2 linked regions of the Caenorhabditis elegans genome follow. The protein of the gene in region 1 interacts with the protein of each later gene in a pairwise test. Each region holds a gene or a part of one and is shown on either strand. Other genes may lie near its edges.

Region 1 (7,578 bases):
ATTACTGTAGTTTTCGCTACGAGATATTTTGTGCGTCATATATGTTGTGCAATACGCATTCTCAGAACTTAGTGCGCCCGTAATAATTAATCGACTAAAAAATGAATTTCAGACTATATGATTTTATCGATTTTTCGTCTGAAATCTTTAAAAAACCTATTTTCAACGTCGTTTTTATCCGCTAGTCGGCAATAAAAATCGATTTGGTTGAAGCTACCAGGCTACAAACTACAACTTATATCGATTTTCCCTTCCAGAACCCGATCCGCTACAATCGTGACACTCTAATGACCGCCCGTGACACTAAACGTGCTCCAATTCCGGATGAAATGCTCCAAGAAATCAATCGAGTTGCTCCAGACATTTTGATTGCTTAATGTGTGAATTCTAGTATTTATTGCTTTTTCCCCTGAAAATTCTTAGTTTTAGCCACTTTTTTATTGTAATTTTCCAGCATCTTTTCATTATTTTAACCCCCGGGGTGTGTGTGATAACTATTCCAAAAATTGATACTATGAGCTGCTATTTTTTTAAAAATAATTTTATTCTATTCAAAAAACAAACAATGAACACAATCACAGTTGAAAACTACCGAAAAAAAATTAGAAAAAATCAACAAAAATTGAGGCAAAAAAAAATCAAATTTCGAGCTCCCAGAGCCGAATTGTTCCGTCATCCGAGGCCGAAGTGAGCAAATTTGAAAATTTCGGATTCGGGTTCCATGCCACGTGGTTTACGTCAAGCTCGTGGCGGCCGACAACTCCGAGGTGCTCAATGACTGGAGATTCGGGTGTGGAGGAGATTTTGAATAGTCTGGAAATATGATTACAGTCGTGGGCGGCAAACGAGTTTTTCCGGCAAATGGGTGATTTGCCGGAATTGAACATTTCCGGCAAATCGGCAAATTGCCGGAATTGCAAATTTCCGGCAAATCGGCATATTGGCAAATTGCCAGAATTGAAAATTTCCCGCAAATCGGCAATTTTGCAAATTGCCGAAATTGAAATTTTCGGCAAATCGCCAGAATTGAAAATTTCCGGCAAATCGGCAAATTGTCGAAAATCAACATTTCCGGCAAGTCGGCAAATTGGCAAACTGCCGGAATTGAAAATTTTCGGCAAATCGGCAAATCACCAGAATTGAAAATTTTCGGCAAATCGGCAAATTGCCAGAATTGAAAATTTCCCGCAAATCGGCAATTTGGCAAATTTCCGGAATTGAAATTTCTGCCAAATCGGAAACTCGGCAAACTGGCAAATTGCCCGAATTTAAAATTTCCGGCAAATTGCCAAAATTGAAAGTTTCCGGCAAGTCGGCATACCGGCAAAACGCCGATTTGCCGGAAAAAACGGCAATTGCCGAAAATTTTCGGCAAATTGTGGTTTTGCACATTTTTTTAAAAATAAAATATTCCGGCAAATCGGCAAATTGCCAGAATTGAAAATTTCCGTAAAATTGCCGGAATTGAAAATTTCCGGCAAATCGGCAAATAGCCAAAATTCAAATTTCCGATTTGCCGAATTTGTCGACAAAAAATTTGCAAATTTACAAAATTTGCCGGACTACTAACTACAAATTTCTCCAATTTTTCAACACTTTTCGTACCTAATTTTGCAATCTCCACCACCGGTGGCAATGACGTCATTCGTAGAATTCCAGGCCACCGAATACAACGGCCATCGTGTATTTTCCACATCATAACGTGCCACAGACTTCCACGTGTCTTGATCAGCAGATTTGGAGCCAATGTTCTCACGAACGAAAAGCTGTAAAAGAGCATTATTGTTGAGGCCAAGGGTGTCATTTTTCGATTTTTTGATGTTTTTCGGTGAAAATCGAAAAATCGAAAAAAAAAATGTTCAGAAAATTAGCCATAAAATATGATTTTTTATTTAATTTTGTTTATAATGATGAGAAAAAAATTAAAATTTCTTCTAAAAAGAAGAATAACGGTCAAAATATTGAGCTAATTTTTGAAAAATCGAAAAATTTTGGTTTTTCGATTTTCTAAAAAAATCAAAAAACCGACACCCTTGGTTGAGGCTGTAGGGAAAACTGCAACTTTTTTCGAACGAGGGCCGAGAAAAAATGCGAAAAATCGGTGTTTGCACACAAAACACCGCATTTTACGACATTTTCTACTTGCTTTGTTTTCTTTCGTTTTTCACCGATTTTTCCCGTGTTTTCTTATTAAAACTGATAAATACATATTTTTTGTTAATACTAAAATAATTTCCAGATGAAAAAATTGTGAATTCAGCCGGCAAGTAGCGGTGAACGTGGTCAATGTAATATGATGGATTACGGGAATACAAAACCCAAACTTTTTCCCAAACATGATACATATGATGTTTAGATGCTAAAAGTACCTGATTTTCATAACGAGACCGCTGAAAAAGTTTTGAGATTTTCAAAATTCAACTTTTTTGGTAAAAAAGTCGAGATTTTGGCACAAAATGTTGAATTTTGAAAATCTAAAAACTTTTTTAGCTGTCTCGTTATGAAAATCAGGTACTTTCAGCATCTTAAAAGCATATATATCATGTTTCAGAAAAAGTTTGGGTTTTGTATTCCCGTAATCCATCATATTACATTGCCCACTTTCACTGCTACTTGCCGACTGAATTCACAATTTTTTCACTTGGAAATTGTTTTAGCATCTGCAAAAAATATTTATTTATTTGTTTTGATAAGAAAAAACGGAAAAAATCGGTGAAAAATGAAAGAAAACACGCAGAAAACAAAGCAAGATAAATGGCCGCTGAAATTTGTCGGGGACTCGGCCATGGCCTAGAAACCTTTTTGCCTCGTCCCTCGTTCGAAAAAAGTTGCAGTGTATTGTTGAGGCCAAGGGTGCCATTTTTCGATTTTTTGATGTTTTTCGGTGAAAATCGAAAAATCGAAAAAAAAAAATGTTCAGAAAATTAGCCATAAAATATGATTTTTTATTTAATTTTGTTTATAATGATGAGAAAAAAAATTAAAATTTCTTCTAAAAAGAAGAATAACGGTCAAAATATTGAGCTAATTTTTGAAAAATCGAAATTTTTTTTCGAAAAATCGAAAAATTTTGGTTTTTAGATTTTTTCTAAAAAAAATCAAAAAACCGACACCCTTGGGGTTGAGGCTGTAGGGAAGTTTGTAGTTTTCTACCTGAATACAATGATCTTTTTTGTAGTTTTCTAGTTTGTAGTTTTCTACCTGAATACAATGATCTTTTTTGTAGTTTTCTAGTTTGTAGTTTTCTACCTGAATACAATGATCTTCTCCAACAGTCACAAGGCGATGTCCTTCAGTGTCAAATGCGATGCTCCATACAGTTCCCACGTGACATCCGTCGATTTTCTGTTGTGTTACCCAGTCTTCGCCGTCGAATCGGTAGAATCTGATTGATGAGTCGTAGCTGCATGAGACGAGAAGCTGGAAAAAGATACGTAGACTACAAACTACAACTTTTTGTGTAGTTTGTAGGACAAACTACAAACTACAATCTAGAAAAGCCTCTGGTTGAGCACAAAAAGTGCAGACTTTTTTTTTGAAATTTTTTTTTTTCAAAAAACTTTTAAAAAACTTGTTTAATTTTCTGTAATTTTTTGAAAATTAAAATGTATATATTTTTCATATTTTTATAAATTTTTGTTGTTATTTTTTCGAAAAAAAACATCGAAAAATCGGAAAATTTTTACGATTTTTTTTCTTTTAAAAAATTGTTTTTTAATAATTTCAGGTTTTTTCAACTTTTCGAAATATTTTTCCAATTTTCTCAGAAAAAAAAACCGGAAAATCGCAAAATTTTTAGGGTTGAGCACAGAAAGTAGCTTTTTAAATTTTTTTTTTTGTGGAATTTCCAAAAAAATCGTTTTTTTTTTCAATTTTTTTGAACTGATATCTTTTGATAATTTAAGGTTTTTTTACAAAAAACCTCTTCTCTGATTTATTATTATTTTTTAAACCGAAAATTGGAAAGTTTTTAGGTTTTTTTTGGAATTTTCGGGAAAAAACGTTATTTTTTTAGATAATTGTTTGAAATTTCTCTAATTTTTTCTCATTACAATTACCAAATTTTTAGTGGAATTTCCAAAAAACATTTTAAATTTTTTTAAAATTAAAATCAACTTTTTTTTTCAATTTCTTGTGATTTTCTGATTTTTTTTATGGTTTCATGTTAAAAAAAAATAGAAAAATCGGAAAATTTCCTTTTTTTTGGAATTTTCGGAAAAAAAAATAATTTTTTAGATAATTGTCTGAAATTTCTTCATTTCTTTTTTCTCAGCACAACTACCATATTTTTTGAAATAAAATATGATTTTTTTTTTTTGAAAAATGATTTTTTTTTGTTTTTTTAATTTGGTTTTTATAATTTTTCCAAAAAAAAAATTCAATTTTATCTGAAAAAAACCGAACAAAAATTTTTTTTTTTCGATTTTTTAGAAAATGTTCAATTTTCGTCCATTTTTTTGAAAAAATTCTAGCGATTGCCGAAAAGTATCGGAAAAAAAATCATTTCTTGAAAAATATTCAGAAATCTATAAAAAAATGTAATTTTCCGAAAAAAAAAAGCCATTTTGGTTTTTTTTAAATCAAATGGAAATTTTTTTAAAGTTCTACAGTTATTGGAAAAATGTGTTTTTTAAAAATTATTTTCTCAAAAAATTGAAATTTCAAAAAAAAAATTGATTTTTTTTAAATTCAATCAATTAAATTCAATCAAATTTCGTAGTTTCTAGTCTACAATCTTCTACAAACTACACATTTTGTAGTTTGTAGTTTGTAGTTTGTAGTCTCTGCACCACTAACATCTTCAGTTGGATGCCAGGCGACTTGTTTCACGTCCTGTGTGTGTGGCTGTAGAATCGATGAAACGCTGAAATCCTCGTCCTCGTCCTCTGCAAAATAAGTGGTTGAGACTACAAACTACAAACTACAAACTACAAACTACACACTTACGTTGCCAAAACCAGACACTTTTATCTCTGCTACATGTGGCCAAAAACTCGTCACTTTTCGAGAAAACTGCACATTTTACTTCACTTTCGTGTCCTTCTAGCTTGTTGACTTCGGCGAATTCTCCGCTGAAAATTGTAGTTTGTAGTTTGTAGTTTGTAGTTTGTAATTTTTTTTTTAGATTGCCACTAATTTTATCGATTTTTCACGATTTTTTATGCTAGAAACGCTAAAATTATGCATTTTCAACCAAAAAAATTAAAATTTTCTTCGATTTCTATTTTAGTTGAGGTTTAGACTACAAACTACAACTTTCTAAGCTAAAAACTCACTCTTCCTGCTGATAAACCACGACGGAAGCGTCAAAACTCGCAGAAACTAGACATTTTCCGTCATTTGAAAATGCGACTGATCGAACCGCCCGTGTATGACTGTCATCCAGTGTTGTACGACACTCCAGACGCATTTTTGAATCTGAAATTTGGGAATTTTTAGAGATTTTCGAATTTTTTAAAGGAAAAAATCTGTTTTTCGATAGATTTCCTTCGTTTTTATGTTTTCCACACCGCTGATCACGATTTTCTGCACAATTTTCAATAAAAATTGACCAACCAGGCTCTCCAACGAGGCTCCAAACCCTGACAGCCTTATCGTCGCCGCAAGAAGCCAAAATTCGTCCTCCATGATGCCAACACGTCATCCAAACTCGACTTGTGTCATCTTTCTCGCCTTGGTGATAAAATTCACCGATTTGTCGCAGCATTTTCCGGTCTGAAAATTGAAAATAAATTTAAAAACTTTAGAAACAATATTTGAAGGAAAATTGCGAATAAAATGAGCGTTTTGTGTGAAATTCCGGGTGAAATTGATGGAAAATTTAAAAATAGCTGATTTATATTTTTAAAATAGCAAGAATCTTAAGAAAAACTAGAAGAAATGAGAAAATTGCTGAAAAAATCGCGATAAAGAATTATCCAAAAAATTCCAGTGCAGTCGCGCTCCATCGTCACGCGTTAGAGAGTGAGAGGGCGCAGAGAAGATAAGACGAAAAACGGCGCGAGACTTGGAGACCCGAAGAACTCGGGGGATGTCCAATTGGGGGGATTACCAACTCGGGGGATTGGCCCCGCCCAAAGAACCGTGGCTTGCAATACGCCCATTTCTGCAACTGCCGCACGGTTTTAAAATTATTTTTTCTTGTTAATTCTCGCTCTATTGAGAAAAATACAGTTTTAAAACCGTGCGGCAGTTGCAGAAATGGGCGTATTGCAAGCCACGGTTCTGTGGGCGGGGCCAATCCCCCGAGTTGGTAATCCCCCCAATTGGACATCCCCCGAGTTCTTCGGGTCTCGAGACTTGAAAATTAGTTTTTTATTTGGATTCAAATTTGAACTGAATCAGGAAAACGCTCTGAAATCGAAAGGAGAATTTTATTTTTCAAACTTTGGAATGAAAAAGTATAAAATTTATCATTAATTCGTGAAAATGTGTGCAACGGCAATTTAAAGGCACATACACAACTTTTCTGGGCGGGTCTCGTCACGATCTTTGTCATTTCTAAAGCTACAGTTTCCAAAAAAGCTCAAATGATTGAAAATGCAAGCATTAATGTTTAATATTGAGTTGGAGACCAGGAAGAAGAAAACCATTAAATAAGTGGCCGAGTTTCTTATTTCGCGGCCAGGTTCGTTCAAAAAGTTCAAACATCGCGCAAAATCTTTGAAAATTGCAAAAATTAATGTTTGATGCGGGAAGTTGTTGTAATTTTGCAAGCATTTGCAATGAAATGAGACCCCTCCGAACGGAGGGGTTGATCAATATAAAACAGCGATTTTTTTAAAGAAATTTCATAGATTTTTTTTTTGGTTTGTCGATTGTTTAAACATCACTTTGTTTTCTTAAATTATCAAAACTTTTACAATCCCATTAGCAATCTGCGCACAGTTCCCGAAACCGTGCGCAGCTTACAAAATGGGCGTGGTTTAATATGCCTTTAGGAATGAGATCCATCCTGCTACTCCTACTGGCGGCATCCATAGCTTCAGCTATCTTTGCTCCTGGAGCCAGCGGAGGTTTTGGAGGTGGAGGTTTTGGGTCACGATCATCATCATCATCATCAGAAGAGGGACGAGGACATCACGGTCACGGCCACGGCCACCATCATGGAAGACCCCCACGGCCACGTCCACCACGTCCGCCAGTATCAAGAGAACCCGAATGTCCAAGTGATTGGTTGTCGTTTGACAGACCTCAGGGAGTCTGGTGTGTCAAGGTGAGCGAGCTACAAGTGCTAGCTCTTTATAGTTTGTAGTCTTACAGGTCTTCTATGAATCACTCACTCAGCCCATCGCCGAGAGTAGGTGCCAGGCACAAGGGGCCACATTGTCCGGATACCAGAATGCCAATGAGCGAATGCAAGTTTCATGTGAGATTTGTAGTTGTTGTAGGCTGGGACCTATCAACCATTATCACGAGGTGCCAGGCTGTCCAATTACGGATTGATCTACAAAAAATGCGGGAATTTTGTGCCCAGCAAAAATATGTGACGTCAGCACGTTCTTAACCATGCAAAATCAGTTAAAAACTCTGCGTCTATTCTCCCGCATTTTTTGTAGATCTACGTAGATCAAGCCG
Region 2 (5,004 bases), on another chromosome or scaffold:
TCTTGGTCTTGGATCTTGCTCTTGGATCTTGCTTTAAAAATTCTTTTACTCCACTGAAAAAATCCTTTTTTTTTAATGAAAAAAGTCAATTTCGTCTGTCAAAACAGCTGTAGTTATTGACAAATTAACTATTTCAGCGGAAGTGGTTGCTGTAATTTCAATTGCTGATCAAGTTAAAAAAGAAGCATCACTTGCAATCTATACTCTACGTGAAATGGGTCTTCGTGTCGTACTTCTCACAGGAGATAACTCGAAAACTGCAGAATCAACTGCGAAACAAGTCGGAATTGATGAAGTATTCGCAGAAGTTCTTCCAAATCAAAAGCAACAAAAGATTAAGCAATTGAAAGGATACAAAAACAAAGTTGCAATGGTTGGAGACGGTGTCAACGACTCGCCGGCTCTCGCAGAAGCCAATGTTGGTATCGCAATTGCTGCAGGAAGTGACGTGGCAATTGAGTCAGCTGGAATCGTACTTGTTAGAAATGATCTTGTGGATGTTGTTGGAGCAATTAAGCTATCGAAAATGACGACGAGAAGGATTCGATTGAACTTTTTGTTTGCAATCATTTATAATGCGATTGGAATTCCGATTGCTGCAGGTGAATTTTAAAAAAGTTATTTCGAACAAAAAAACCGATTTCAAATGGTAGAATAAAAAGTGTTAAAAATGTCGAAAAATTTTCAATTTTCCGAAAAACGAAAAAATTGAAAAAAAATGTCTAGAACATTTTTTTAATTTGAAATTTTAAATATCAATTTTTTTTGAAGAGAAAAACTTTAAAAATTATATTTTCTCTGAAAAAAGAAAATTGGTCAAAATTTGTAGCTATTTTTCGAAAACCCGGGTAATTTTTTTTCGAACAAAAAAAATCAAAATTTTTCGACTTTTCGAATACCCGGAAAACGAAAAATCGTCTAGAAAATTTTTAAACAATTCAAAATTTTATCAAATTCGGTTTATCTTGTTGAGAAGTACTTAAGAAAAAAAATTTCTGAAAAAAAAGAAAAATAGCTTAAGTTTGAAGCTATTTTTCGAGAAAAAAACGGAAATTTTCTACTTTTGTCTGGAAAATTTGAAAAATTCAAAATTTAATGAAATTTTCGTTGATTTTCGTTGAGAAAAAAAAAGAAGAAAATATTGTTTTTCTAGAAAACGCTATTTTTCCAATAACAAAAAACAATCCACTTTTAATAATTTTCCAAATTTCCAGGTGTATTCCGCCCATTTGGCTTCATGCTTCAACCATGGATGGCTGCAGCTGCAATGGCTCTTTCCAGTGTCTCCGTGGTTTCTTCTTCACTTTTACTCAAAAACTTCCGAAAACCAACGATTGCAAATCTCTATACGACGAGCTTCAAACGACATCAGAAGTTCCTCGAATCGGGCTCTTTCCAAGTTCAAGTGCATCGAGGCCTAGACGATTCGGCTGTTTTTCGAGGTGCTGCTTCTTCAAAATTATCAATATTAAGCTCAAAAGTTGGCTCACTGCTCGGCTCAACAACAAGTATCGTGAGCTCTGGGAGCTCGAAAAAGCAACGACTTTTGGATAATGTTGGATCAGATTTAGAGGATCTCATTGTGTAGTTTTTTTGATTTTTTATCCAATTTTTTGTACATTTTGCGTGCTTCGTTTCGTCATCTCACTCTCATCACACACATACCGACCAAATTCCATTTTTTACGCGGTTTTATTGTTTTAATTTGTGATTTTTTGCCTTATTTTCTTGTATTTTCCAAATTTTGAATCGAATTTAATAAACATTTTTTAAAAATTTAACTATAAATTTTTGATTTTAAATCTCAAAGTATTTTTCAAATTTTTATATCTCTGGAAATTATTGCAACAAAAAATTATTCAAATTTAAATTTTCGCCAAAAACTACATATGTATTGTTTTTTCTTCCACGGCCACTAGGCCACCGATATTTTTTCGTCATTTTCCATTTCCAGCTTAATTTCCAGGCTTATATCACATAAAAATGGGCCAAGAACGTCTCGACAATGCAAATCCAACACTTTTCGACTCAAAACCACGTCATCGACCTGTTACTGGCACTGAAAGGTTGGTTTTTGGAGGGTTTTAACGCAAAAATCAAGTTTTAATCGTTAAAAGTTTACTTTGAATTCAAAAAGAGCATATTTTCACGGTTAAGTTTTTATATAAATAAAGTACAGAATTTTTAAAAAATTCCGCAAAAAAACAGCGAATTAATAAATTGAAAATTCGAATTTTCAGCCATTTTTCGTATTTTTTCAAATGAAAATTTATAGTTTGAAACGTAATTACTTCGATTATTAAATTGAAAACACAGAAAAATCAAGAAAAACGCTTTTTACCTGTTATTTAAACGAAAAACATAATAAATTTAACAAAAACACGATAAAATACGAAAAATCGCATGAAATCCAAACATTTAAATAAAAAATTCCAGTAAAATGGAAGAGGAGATGAATTTTTGACACTTTGAAGCTCCAGAACATCTGTGTCAAAAGTGTCGGTTTTTAGATTTTCGAAAAAATAAAATCGAAAAACGAAAATTTTCCGTTTTTTGATTTTTAGATTTTTCGATTTTCCAATATTTCGAATTTTTTTTCGATTTTTCTAAAATTAGCTAAAAATTCTGATAATTGTTCTTCTGTTTAGAAGACGTTTTTATTTAAACAAAATTAAATTTAAAAAAAAAAAGAATTTTCTGCTGAGTTTTTTTTAAGTTTTTGATTTTCCTTGAAAAAATAGAAAACATCGAAAAATGAATTTTTTGTGTTGTTTCGCTTGTAAAAATTGGCTCTCAATTCCACTACATTATTTTTAATTCAAAAAATATGATTCCAGAGATGAAAGCGTCGAAGATCCAATCGATTCGTGGGAGATTTTCGATCTGATCAGAGATATCAACGATCCAGAGCATCCATATACTCTCGAGCAGTTAAATGTGGTTCAAGAGGAGCTTATCAAAGTGTTTATCGACGAAGAAGAGACCTTTGTGAAGGTAACTTTAATTTTAAAATAACTTTAAAATTTTTTACAATTTTTTACAAAACATTTCCAAGAAGCTTCCAATCTTTGAACAGAAATTCTACAGCATTGATTGGAAAAAAGTGAAAAAAATGCGCTTGAAAAAATATTAAAAATTGGTCTCAGCAATGCAGGGCTCTCCTGATATATTTAATCAAAATATACTGATTTAATTGATAAAAAAAGTTGATTTATCTTGCTTTTATTTAAATTGGAACAATTGATTTTTCCAAATATCAGACAATTCTTGAGCGTTTCCCAATTGTTCCAACTGAAATAAACTTTTTTCAGGTAAAACAAATATTTTTTTTCTACCTTCTATCACTAAATTTTAATGAAAAATATTGCGAGAAAATTATTGATTGGTAATTTAAAATTAATTTTTTTTTAAATTTGAAAAAAAATTTCAGGTGAATTTCACACCAACCATTCCACACTGCAGTATGGCAACACTAATCGGTTTGGCGATTCGAGTGAAACTTTTGAGATCTTTGCATCCGAAAGTTAAAGTTAGCGTTTCAATCACTCCAGGATCACATTCTACGGAAGAATCAATTAACAGGCAGTTGGCCGACAAGGTAAGTTTTTAATTTTTGATGAAAATAGTAAAATCTATATAATTTAAAAACCATTTATTTTTGCAAAAAAATCGAAAAAAAACTCTAAAATTGACTTTTCTGCTGAAAAACGCCTGTAAAATTGGCAAAAAACTGTTTCGAACTATAGTAATATGTAAAATGAGGAAAAATCAATAGTAAATAACGACTTTAAAAATTTTTAAAAACTATGTAATTAGCTTTTTTTTTTGCTAGAAAATGTCTAAAAAATTTGAAAAAAAAGTTTAAATCATAATTTGCCAAAAAACGTAATTTCAAAACTCGGGCATTAATTTGCGCAAAAATTTAAAAAAATCACTAAAACTTTAAAATTCGCCAAAATTCGATAATTCAACATTTCTTCTTAATATTTTATGCTGAAAACCGTCTGAAAACATTAATTTGAATTTTTTGATTGCAAAATGGCAAAAAAATCATTTTAAAAATTATTTAATTTTTTTAATGGTTTATTTGGAGATTTCGGTCTATTTTTATACTTTGCATTTTTTATTTTCGAAATTTTTTGAAATTAAATTTTAAAGTATAGAAAATAAGACCGAAGTTTCCGAATAAACCAATAAAAAAATTCAAAAAAAATTTAAAACATTGTATTTTTTAGTTTAGAAGCAAGCCCCTCAAAAAGTTAATTTTTAAAACATAAATTCAAAATGTCTCATTTAGGAACGAGTAGCTGCTGCAATGGAAAATCAAGGACTAATGCACGCTGTTAACGAATGCCTCAGAGTTCCAGAATAACCAAAAAAAGATCCAGATTAAAGTTTTTGTGATATTAAAAGTTGCCTATCTATCAGGTTTCGAATAAAAACGTGTTTAAAATTATTTAGTTTTTTTGTCGAAATTTTCATTTTCATAGGTTAGATTTAAAAATCACCAGAAAAGTATCTAGATTCAGGGAATTTATTTTTTTGTTGAAAAATTAGTGATTAAGAATTCGAAAAAAAATGTTCAAAAGTGTCAGGATGTTCTCAACGAAAAAATCACAAGGAAATTTGCACAAGTGAGTTTTCTTCCCCCATCAAATATAAATTTATTTTTCAAATTTAAATTTCAGATATATTCAACGGCAATCAACAGACGAATTTGCGGTTAAAGCTCGTGAGCACAATTACCGAGCACGGAGCGCCTTCAAATTAATCGAAATTAATGAGAAATTCAAATTTCTGAAACCGGAGAGTACTGTAATCGATATTGGATGTGCACCTGGCTCATGGCTTCAAGTAGTTGTGCAGAAGTGTCCAAATGGATATGCATCGGGTGTAGATTTACAAGTAAGTTATTAAAATTAGTTTTAGAAAAAAAAACGTTGTGCCCCCAAAAGTTGGGTCTCGTTAGGTATTTGACTGCAAAATCGGAAATAAAAAAAGTTT

Evidence for each region. The genes of interacting proteins can lie anywhere in the genome.
Region 2: the proteins of ciao-1 (region 1) and ciao-2B interact in a two-hybrid assay, tested with the Caenorhabditis elegans proteins (one large-scale study listed by BioGRID).

What each region holds. Positions count from the first base shown.
Region 1 is NC_003279.8:12,852,556-12,860,133, forward strand, and holds ciao-1 (putative cytosolic iron-sulfur protein assembly protein CIAO1 homolog), read right to left. Parts: upstream 5,727-7,578; 5' UTR 5,708-5,726; coding exon 5,557-5,707; intron 5,419-5,556; coding exon 5,277-5,418; intron 5,073-5,276; coding exon 4,948-5,072; intron 4,887-4,947; coding exon 4,798-4,886; intron 3,421-4,797; coding exon 3,250-3,420; intron 1,767-3,249; coding exon 1,606-1,766; intron 814-1,605; coding exon 639-813; 3' UTR 521-638; downstream 1-520. Other genes in the region: mxt-1 (Eukaryotic translation initiation factor 4E-binding protein Mextli homolog), read left to right, coding at 258-377; clec-104 (C-type lectin domain-containing protein), read left to right, coding at 6,944-7,216, 7,264-7,369.
Region 2 is NC_003281.10:13,436,505-13,441,508, reverse strand, and holds ciao-2B (MIP18 family protein F45G2.10), read left to right. Parts: upstream 1-1,964; 5' UTR 1,965-1,983; coding exon 1,984-2,066; intron 2,067-2,837; coding exon 2,838-2,994; intron 2,995-3,430; coding exon 3,431-3,598; intron 3,599-4,297; coding exon 4,298-4,372; 3' UTR 4,373-4,455; downstream 4,456-5,004. Other genes in the region: cua-1 (P-type Cu(+) transporter), read left to right, coding at 138-602, 1,215-1,588; F45G2.9 (rRNA methyltransferase 2, mitochondrial), read left to right, coding at 4,597-4,634, 4,689-4,905.